Coturnix japonica: one gene and its partner. The protein of the gene in region 1 interacts with the protein of each later gene in a biochemical or structural test. Links are inferred from orthologs where the notes say so. Each region holds a gene or a part of one and is shown on either strand. Other genes may lie near its edges. The genes, in order: PBX1 and HOXB1.

Region 1 (4,506 bases):
ACCAGTGAGCTGTTTCTCCCCACTTAAACACTCCCACACACAAGGATCAGGGCGGGGGGGGGGGTCACAAACTTTGTGGAATAACACCTTCAAAGAGCAGAAAGCAAAACCAACGGCGTGGCTTCCCTACCTGTTTTTTCTTTGATTTCACACAAGACATTAAAAAGAGCCGGCTTCATCCTGTGGCAGTTTAAAGCGTGTTTCCTGCAGAGAAAAGGGGAAAAAAAAAAAGGGGGTGAGGTTAGGATGAGGTGCAGCCACAACTTCCCCAGACTCACAGCAGCCTGTTGGTGTGCCCCAAGGGTGGGGGGATGCTTGGGGTAGAGCCCTGCTAGGACCTCGGGGGTGCAGTACCGGAGCGGCCAGCAGCCATCTCCCCAGTGGAAAGGGAAGAAATAAGGCCAATTTTGAATGGCTTTCAATGCAGCATTTGCTACTGAGCTGCTCTCAAGGCAAGCAGCTCCCCGAGCCAGGAAGCTCAGAAGCCAGGCTTGGTTTAACTCTCATTCACACACACGCAGCACCGCGGCGGGCTACCTCCGTCTCCCACCTCCAAACTAAAGCCAGCCATGTGTTTCATCCTCATCCTGCATAGCAGAGGGAAGAAAAGCCCCCCCCTCCTTCACCTCCCCCCAGTGCTGAAACATCCTCTGCTGAGAGCTGTCAACCCAGGCAATTTCAGCGCCCAACTTGGAGCACCGACACGCACAGCCACAGGCACGCGCGCAGATGGAGAAATAAATCCGGCTCTCCGCACCCGTGCCGCACTCCTTGTGTGCACCCAGCTTCGTTGCAGGTGGTAAGGTTGAATTCCTTTCAATTGGGGCAGGAAGTATTTACAAAACACAGCCTGGTGCTGCTGGGAAGCGGTGGCACTGCGCTCTATGCGCTCTATGCTCCCTTCTCCAGGTCAGCGTTGCGGGGCTGGCCGCCCTCCGCCTGTAGGTTTGGGGCAATGGAGAGCTTTTAAGGGTGGTTTTACAGGTTTCACAGCCCGCTGGATGCCTGCAAAGCAACAACACGGGATGGCTGTGGGTTCCTCCTGCAGCCCTATGAGGACTCGGCCGAGGGCTGTGTGGTACGAAGGGCTGCTCTTAGCAGGCGCCGGTTACGGGATTTCTGTTTACCAACCGAAACAACACGCGAAGCCGATGTGAACATCTGGCAAACATTCACACCACTTCCCCCCCACCACCCACAACATGTTGGGAGAGATTTATGCGGCCGACGAAGCATCCCCAAAGGTGGATAAACCTCGCGGAGCCACGGTGCGCCCCTTAGCAGATGGGAGCAGGAACTGGGGTGCACAAATCACGTAGGGGCACCAGTGGGGCCCTGCTGCAAATCACACTGCGGGGAAGAGGCCGAGCCCCAAAGTTAAGGAGGAAAACAACAAGAAGTAAAAAAGCAGCAGAACACCCCTATGATAGCTGGATGGGTGCAGGAAATGCAAAGCCAAAGACCTCTGCTAAATAATGAGTGTTTGGCAGCAAAAAGTCTTATGAAGATGGTGCAGGAATTGCCCGGCGAGGCAAAACCTCACCACCTCTTAAGGCTGCTCGGGTCTGGGCAGCTGAGTTGGACCAGTGTGAAGAAGCACCCTAAATGCTCTTAATTCCCATAACTTCCAGGAGAAGAGAGCTCTCTCTGCCCTATAGATGGGAAGAAAGTGTGCTGCGTCGTCCTGCTCCCAGGAGCACCACCAGCAGTGGGGTGAGGGCTGCGCTCCCCATGCAAGCTATCCCGAAGTTGTGCTGTGCTTCCATGCCTTCTCCCAGCAGCAGGGGATGTTGTGGCACTGCACCCCTCGGCCTCACGCTGGGTGAACTCTGAGTGCACCCCAACAAGGCCGACCGACTCTTTAATTCCCATTATTTACCCCTCAAACCCTGCCTTTAAGTTGGATGGTGTTTTCTTCTCTCCCCAACTTTCGCTCGCACCCCATACCCTACAGTTTTTCCTTTCCCTCCTTCTCTAAGAATACCCTGGGGTTTATGGGGAGGGAAATAAGAATAGGGTAAGGAAATTAAAGGCAGAAAGGCAGGCGGTGCGCTCACCCTGCCAGCAGAGAAGCACGGCCTCGCCAAGCCGGCGCTGGGCCCCGCCGGGCAGCGGCACCGCGCTGCGGGAGCGAGCGGGCTGCGAGGAACTGCCCCAAAGTTACAAGAAAAGGAGGAAAAATTATTTCCTAACGCCCACTCCGATGGAAACGAGGATGGGAAGCAGCAGCCCGAGCCGAGGGGAGCGGGGAAGCCGCCCTCCCGCCGCACAACAAAGCCGCACAAAGGGCTGCGAGCCGGGCTGCTCTCCCCCCCGCCGCCTCCCCCCGGTAAAGTTCCCCGCGCCCGCCCTCCGCTCACCTGGCCTGCGCCTCGTCCAAACTCTGGTCCGTGATGGTCATGATCTGCTGTAAGATGTCTCCGATGTCCTGCTTCCTGCCTGCCTCCCCCTCCGCCCCGCCTGGTCCATCCTGCATGTGCTGGGACAGGCCCGGGTGGCCCGGCATCCCCACCCCGCTGTGCGTGTGCATCAGCCGCGGCTGCTCGTCCATCTCCGGCCGCCGGCTCCCGCTCCGCCGCCTCCCTGCTGGCTGCCGGCCGCGGCGGCTGGGCTGCCCGCCTGGCTCCGCGCTTTCTTTTCTTGCTCGCTTTCTTCTTCTTCTTTCCTTCCCCCCCCTCCTCCTCCCCGCAGCCTCTTCCTCCTCTTGGCTTTTTTATTCTTATTATTATTATTTATCCTTCACGCTGCCTTCCAGCTCGGCGGTGGAGAGGAAAAGGAGGAGGAGGAGGGAAAAAAAACGCGCACACACACACACAGAGACAGAGAGGGGAAAAAAAAAAAAAAAAAAAAAAAAAGGAAAAAAAAAAAGAGAGAGAGAGAGAGAAAAGAAAGGGGAAAAAAAAAATCCCTTTGGTTGCTGGAGGAGGAGGAGGAGGAGGGATGGAAAGAGGGAGGGAGGGAGGAGGGAGGGGGGGGGTTGGGGAAGGGAGGGGAAACGGCGGCGACTCCGAAAGCAGGGCAGCGGCGCGGCCCGGGAGGCGGCGGCGGGGGGCGGGCAGGGCGGGCAGGGCCGGCGGGCAGCGGGCGCCGCGGGGCGGAGCGCAGCGCCGAGCGGAGCGGGGCGGCCCCAGCGATGGCAGCGCCGCGGGGCCGGAGCTCGGCGGGAGCGCGGCGGGGGTGGGCTCCAAACTTTCCCCCACCCTCCGCGCTCGGCTCCGCGCCCGGCAGCGGCGCCTTCCCCTCCGGCCGGGCCTGCACGCGGCGCTCCCCACCCACCCCTCACCCCGGCCCTCGCCTCCCGCTTTTGTTCGGCTCCGGACTCCTCAAAGTGGCACGGAGGAGCCCGAGGAGGAGGGACGGAGGCGGGGGGGGGTTGGCGAGGAGGAGGGAGGAAGGGGCAGCGGCGGCTCTCCGCCCCCCCGGCCCCATTGGCGGCGGCGGAGGGAAGGCCGGCCCACACGGGCCGCACCGCCCTCCCGGCGGCCGCCCGTCAATCTCCGGGTTCAGAGGTGGGCCGGGGGCCGCGCCCCGCCCGCGCCTTAAAGCGGCCTCGGCCTGGGGCGGGTGGGAACGAGCAGCGCCGCGGTGCGGTACTGCAGGCCGGGATCCTTCCTTGGCCTCTCGGGCATCAACGGCCCCGGCTCGCAGCAGCTCGGCCCCGCCGTCACCCCCGGCGCCTCCCTGGTCCCCCCACTCCGTGCCTCAAGCAGCTCCTTCCTTCTCACCTCAGCCATCCTCATCTCCTCGCTGTGCTTTATCTCCTCCACCGACCCACGAGGTCCCACCGGTGGGGCCTTCCCGTGCAGTGAATCCGTGCCCCCCATGCCTCCTGTTAAGGTTGGAAAAGACCTCTGAGATCATCAGGCCTGGTGCAGTGCCATACACCAGACCAGGCAGCCGTGGAGGTGGCTTCCATGGAGGTCTGGTGGTCTCAGCTGTTCTCTCAGCACAAGGGAAGGCCCAGCCCCAGTCCCTGACCTCAGCTGAGGTCGGGGATGGAGCCATCCAGCTTATGGGAAAGATAAAAATAATAACAACAAGGCAATTGTTTTGCTTCTGCCCTTCCTTTCTAATGAAACGCTTTCCAATATTTGAAGCAAAACACAGCTTTCCACTTGGAAATTTCCTCTCAAGCCGCTCGGCTGTTGTGAAGCGGTTGAAGGCAAAGCGAGATGTTTTGATGTTTGTCGCTGCAAAGCGTTTCACTCGACACGTCCTTTTTGTTTCTTGGCTTGCCAATGTTTTTCATCAGCTTTTCACCCGCGATGTATCTATGTCTTTTGTTGTTGTTGTTGTTGAAAAGGCCAAAAACGAGGAGAAAATATTCAGTATCTCCATGGCTGCGCAGGAAATGGAACTTCATCCAAGGAAGAAAGAGCCAAGGACTCCTCTCCAAAGGCCCAACCTTTCAGACACTTAGTCAATCCCCTCACTCGCACACCAAGTCTAGTCTAGTTCCAAAGGGGCTGCTCCAAGGCAGGCACCCGGCACGGAGCCTTGGAGGAG
Region 2 (4,399 bases), on another chromosome or scaffold:
TCAGCATCAGCAAAGTCTGCAGAATACATGAATAAATAGAAGCACAGCAGTGGAAATAGTTTCTTCTTATTCTTTTTATTTGGGGACGAGAGATGCAGTTGGGCAAAGCTCACTTTCTCTCTAGGGGACGTTTGAAGACGGGAGGAGGGCTGATGCTATTGCAGTTGCTTAACAAATGCCATCCCAACGGGTTGCATCAGCCACACCAAAGCTCTTGCATTAAAGAACGTGCTTATGCCTTTCAAAGTGAACTTTTGGCCCGATTTAAGGAGGGAAGAAAGAAAAAAAAAAGGCCCTCCTGGCTCTTCCTAGAGGCTGAATAACCAGTAAATATCCTGACAAGTAACAAATGACTGTGGGCGTCATATTGTTGGGTGCTCTTGTCTTCCCTTTGCTAACAAGTAAATAAATGTTGCCTACCTATGTTTCCATTCTCTGAGCAGTGGAGTGGCCGGGCTGAAGTCAATGCCTTTCCACCTACTCATCAGATGGGATCTGCTAGAGGGAATCTCCAGGATCACAACAGACTCAAGGAAAGGTCAAAGCAGGTTCGATGTAGGAAAACAGCCCCTAAACCCACCGGTTACAGCCCTTAAAAGCATCTCTTGTTCTCAGAAGTGGATGTGTAAGCAGGTCGGTACATGGGAGAAAGGATGGATAGAAAGATCGGTGGGGTTAGTAAAGAGACATATGTGATTTCTAGTTCCTCTGCTCCGATTGCTAAGCTGGGCATGGTGTCTCTCCAACAAAAGACATTCTGTCTTCCTAACTTTATTTCAACTCCTCATTAGAATACAGATTTAATTACGTTGCTTTCACCCATACTGGCCCTGCACACAAAGCCAGAGTGATTTTATTATTAATTAAGACACATAGAGCAGTTTTTTCGTAGGAGTTTTAGCCCAGGAAGTTCCAAATATGTTCAACTTTCAAGGGAGAGTTTCACAATGAAGAAAAGAGCATCCTTTTGTAGTTGGGGCTGTGGAAGGGAGGAAGCAGTCAGACCTCCCTACCTCTTTTTCCCTTGTCTTCCTTTCAGATGAAGCTAAGATCGGAGAAAACCTTTTATTAAGTTGGGGAAGGGGAAATTCTGCTGAATTTGGCTAACCACATCACTTGGGAGCCTTTTTAGCACTTAAAACAGTCGTAGATCATTCTAACTCTTCCCCCCCCCAGTCCCCTCTTCCCCATCACCTCCCCGCACCCCACCTCCCTCCTCTCTTTTTTAAGTCTTTGAGGAAAGATTTTGACGTATTCGTGTTGTTATCAGATTGATGGGCAGGGTTTGATTGAAACCCCTTTGTCATGTAAATGTCATCTCCTTGATGGATGAGCTCAGAGATGTGACAAACTTTAGGAGCCCCTCGCTCATTGGGCTGGGGGTGGACCACGTGGACCCCCCGCCCCCACCCAGGCCCCGCCGAAGGCTCCGGGGTTCGAGGGCCAGCGATGCATGGAAGGAAGTTTTACAGCTTTGACATACTATCTAAAGGTTGTAGGGCAGGCGGAATCCCCCCCAAAACAGGCTGACCCTCCTCCATCAGTGGCAGATGGACAATACTAGGATGAACTCCTTCTTAGAGTATGCAATTTGTAACCGTGGGACGGGCGCCTACCATCATTTAGAGCAAAGCTCCCCTTCCTTCCCCTCTTGCTCAGGTAGCCCCTCCAGTGACACTTACCATGGAGAAGGGCGCTTCGGTGCTGGGGGCAACACGGTCTCGGCCACCCACCTCCCCCCGCAGAGTCCCGGCTTCTTCCCCGCTACCTCCGGGCGCTCCGTGCCCTTCTCGGCCGCTGCCCCGAGCACCGGGTACCCAACCCAGAACTGCAGCCCCGGCTACGGGCACCACCAGCTCTACCTCGGCCAGCAGGACTCGGACGGCGTGTACTTCCAGGCGGCCGGGTACTCCTCCAGCTCCGGACCCCACCTTGGCCCCCTGGCTGATGGCTATTGCGGGGCCGTAGGGCAATACCAGCAGCAGCACCTTTACGGGCAGGAGCAGCCCGGTTACTTGCCTGGGGTTTACGGCAACCTCTCGCCTTCCCTAAATGAGGACAAAGACCCCGCGTGCCCCTCCGAGCCGTGCCCCAATGCCAGCTCGGCGCGGACCTTCGATTGGATGAAAGTGAAGAGGAACCCCCCCAAGACAGGTGAGTTTGGGGAGCGCAGGGCTTGGTGGGTGGGTTGGGGGGGGGTCCCCATCCGGGCTGAGAAGGGTGGGCGTGAAGGGGGGGCCGTTCTGTAGCCCTGATACGAAATGTTGTCTTCCTTGGGGTTTCTGCTCGAGGTAGTTGGGCTCCTTTGCTTGAGGAAGACATATTTTTACTCTTATTTTTCAGCTCTATAGAAAAAACAGCTAGCGATTTTCCAGGCACACCTGGCAGAGGGTCACTGAGCTCGCTTGCCCTAAGGCCCAATGCAGTTTAAACCGAGCTCCGAATAGGAAACGCTCCCAGTTTCCTGCTTCCTCCACAAAGGTGGTTTCCACCTCTCTCATTGTTCAACATCCTTCTCGAAAACCTTCCTTAAATCCGGAACTTCCCTCCTCTCCCCCGCCATCTTCCCCCTGTCCCCCCTCTCCCCCTCCCCTTCCATTCCCTCCCACGCACGTTCAAGTTTCATGGAACTTTGCAGGGAGCTGGGATGACTGCAAGAGAAAGGAGACGCTCTGCAGATCCCAGGGCAGCGTTTCCCTCCCGGTTTTGTGCCTGGAAAGCCAGGGGTGCTGAGGGGAGGCTGAGAGAGGTGGGGGTCCAACACGCAGCACAGGGGATGCCCACTCAATCAGACAGCCCCAGGACCCCCAGGCCCATATAGGGCCATCCTTCTGCTGCTTCTGCCCTGTTGTTTTTTTGCTCCTTACAGCTAAAGTGTCGGAATACGGGCTGCTGGGCCAGCCCAACACCATTCGCACCAACTTCACCACCAAGCAGCTGACAGAGCTGGAGAAGGAGTTTCACTTTAACAAGTACCTCACCCGGGCCAGGAGGGTGGAAATCGCCGCTACATTGGAGCTCAACGAAACCCAAGTCAAGATCTGGTTCCAGAACAGGCGGATGAAACAGAAGAAAAGGGAAAAGGAAGGTCTCGCTCCTCCTGCTGCTTCCAGATCCGGAAAGGAAGCGAGTGAAGCTTCGGATCAGTCCAACTGCACCTCACCTGAGGCCTCCCCCAGCTCCGTGTCCTCCTGAACCGCGGTCCCGTGGGACACAACGACCAGGTCGGGGCTGCCTTCGAGGGCTGCTGCCCCCCTCTGCTCCCCGCAGCCCCACCCGCACTGCCCCGCACAGCCCCGGCCTCACACGGCTTCCCTCCGAGCCGCCCCTTTGGCTCCAGCCGCCTCCACCCGTGCGCTGCCCATTCCCCTTTTGCCTTCCTCTCTTAATTTATAGACCCTCCGTCAAACGTTGGACTCCAAAGGAGCGGCCGTGTCCTCATTTATCCTTAGCAATAGGCGTTTGTCTCAGGGACGTTTCTCCCTTCTTCCCTTCCCAATAGGAACTGCACTTTCAACTACAGAAACTTGAAAACGAATTTAGTTCTTTCCCGTTTTAAAGATGTGCACAACGATTTTTGTCCGCACGCATCCTGAGTTTGCTGTATTATTCCTCCCCTCGATGTGGTTAAAAAAGAAAAGTTTGGCTTTGTTTCCCTTTTATATTTACTCTGTGTATCTCGGAAAGAGCCCAAGACGCTGAAAGCCTTTGGGAAGACCCGAAAAAGAAAAGAAACAAAGCAAAAATGCAACTCCTCTGCTGCCATTTTGCACTACCGCCGCTTGACAGGGTTTCCTACGCGCTGTCCGCCCGTATTACTGATCCTGGGGGTGGGAGCGTTGTGCTATCAGATAAAACGAGATAAGGGGAAGGCTGAGCCCGGGGTGCTTTGGACAACGGTCATTGCTGCACCGAGTGTGAACGTGCACGGGGTGAAGGCCGGGGGGGTTGGGGAGGGGTCCGCACTGCGCTCCCCCAGCCCCGACGCATTGACTGCTGTTTATTGGACGTCTCGATAGCCTCAAGTCTTGGGGTGAAGCCGCACGGCTCCTTGTATCCCCAGCCCCTTAGGTTTATCGGAGTCCGATAAAAAGAAACATTATTAACCACGGCCAGTTGTTACCCTTTGCCACCAGAAGCTTTAGCGCAGGGAGAAGTGAAAACCACGGCGAGTTTCGTTAAAGATTGTTTTAAAGGGATAAAAGGTCATCCTGAAAAGCCTGTGGTTTCTTAATCGGAATCTGTTTTCCCTCCACTCCCTTCCCCGTGCTCTGTTTTTCGAAATGAAGCTACCTCAGTTTAATAAAGTTTACTTTTTCCACATTCGAATCCTGTCGGCTCTAAGCGGAATGGCGAGCTCCCACACCCAGGAAAATGCACGGGGAGAGCAGCCGGGCTT

The links.
Region 2: the proteins of PBX1 (region 1) and HOXB1 are reported together in a solved structure, tested with the Homo sapiens proteins (2 studies listed by BioGRID and IntAct, with this or other methods). The link is inferred for Coturnix japonica from reciprocal best matches to the Homo sapiens genes PBX1 and HOXB1.

Annotation. Positions count from the first base shown.
Region 1 is NC_029523.1:6,332,249-6,336,754, reverse strand, and holds the start of PBX1 (pre-B-cell leukemia transcription factor 1), read right to left. Parts: upstream 2,854-4,506; 5' UTR 2,552-2,853; coding exon 2,361-2,551; intron 205-2,360; coding exon 131-204; intron 1-130. UniProt on the Homo sapiens protein: Transcription factor which binds the DNA sequence 5'-TGATTGAT-3' as part of a heterodimer with HOX proteins such as HOXA1, HOXA5, HOXB7 and HOXB8. Binds to the DNA sequence 5'-TGATTGAC-3' in complex with a nuclear factor which is not a class I HOX protein.
Region 2 is NC_029542.1:3,236,915-3,241,313, forward strand, and holds HOXB1 (homeobox protein Hox-B1), read left to right. Parts: upstream 1-1,550; coding exon 1,551-2,154; intron 2,155-2,869; coding exon 2,870-3,195; 3' UTR 3,196-4,321; downstream 4,322-4,399. UniProt on the Homo sapiens protein: Sequence-specific transcription factor which is part of a developmental regulatory system that provides cells with specific positional identities on the anterior-posterior axis. Acts on the anterior body structures.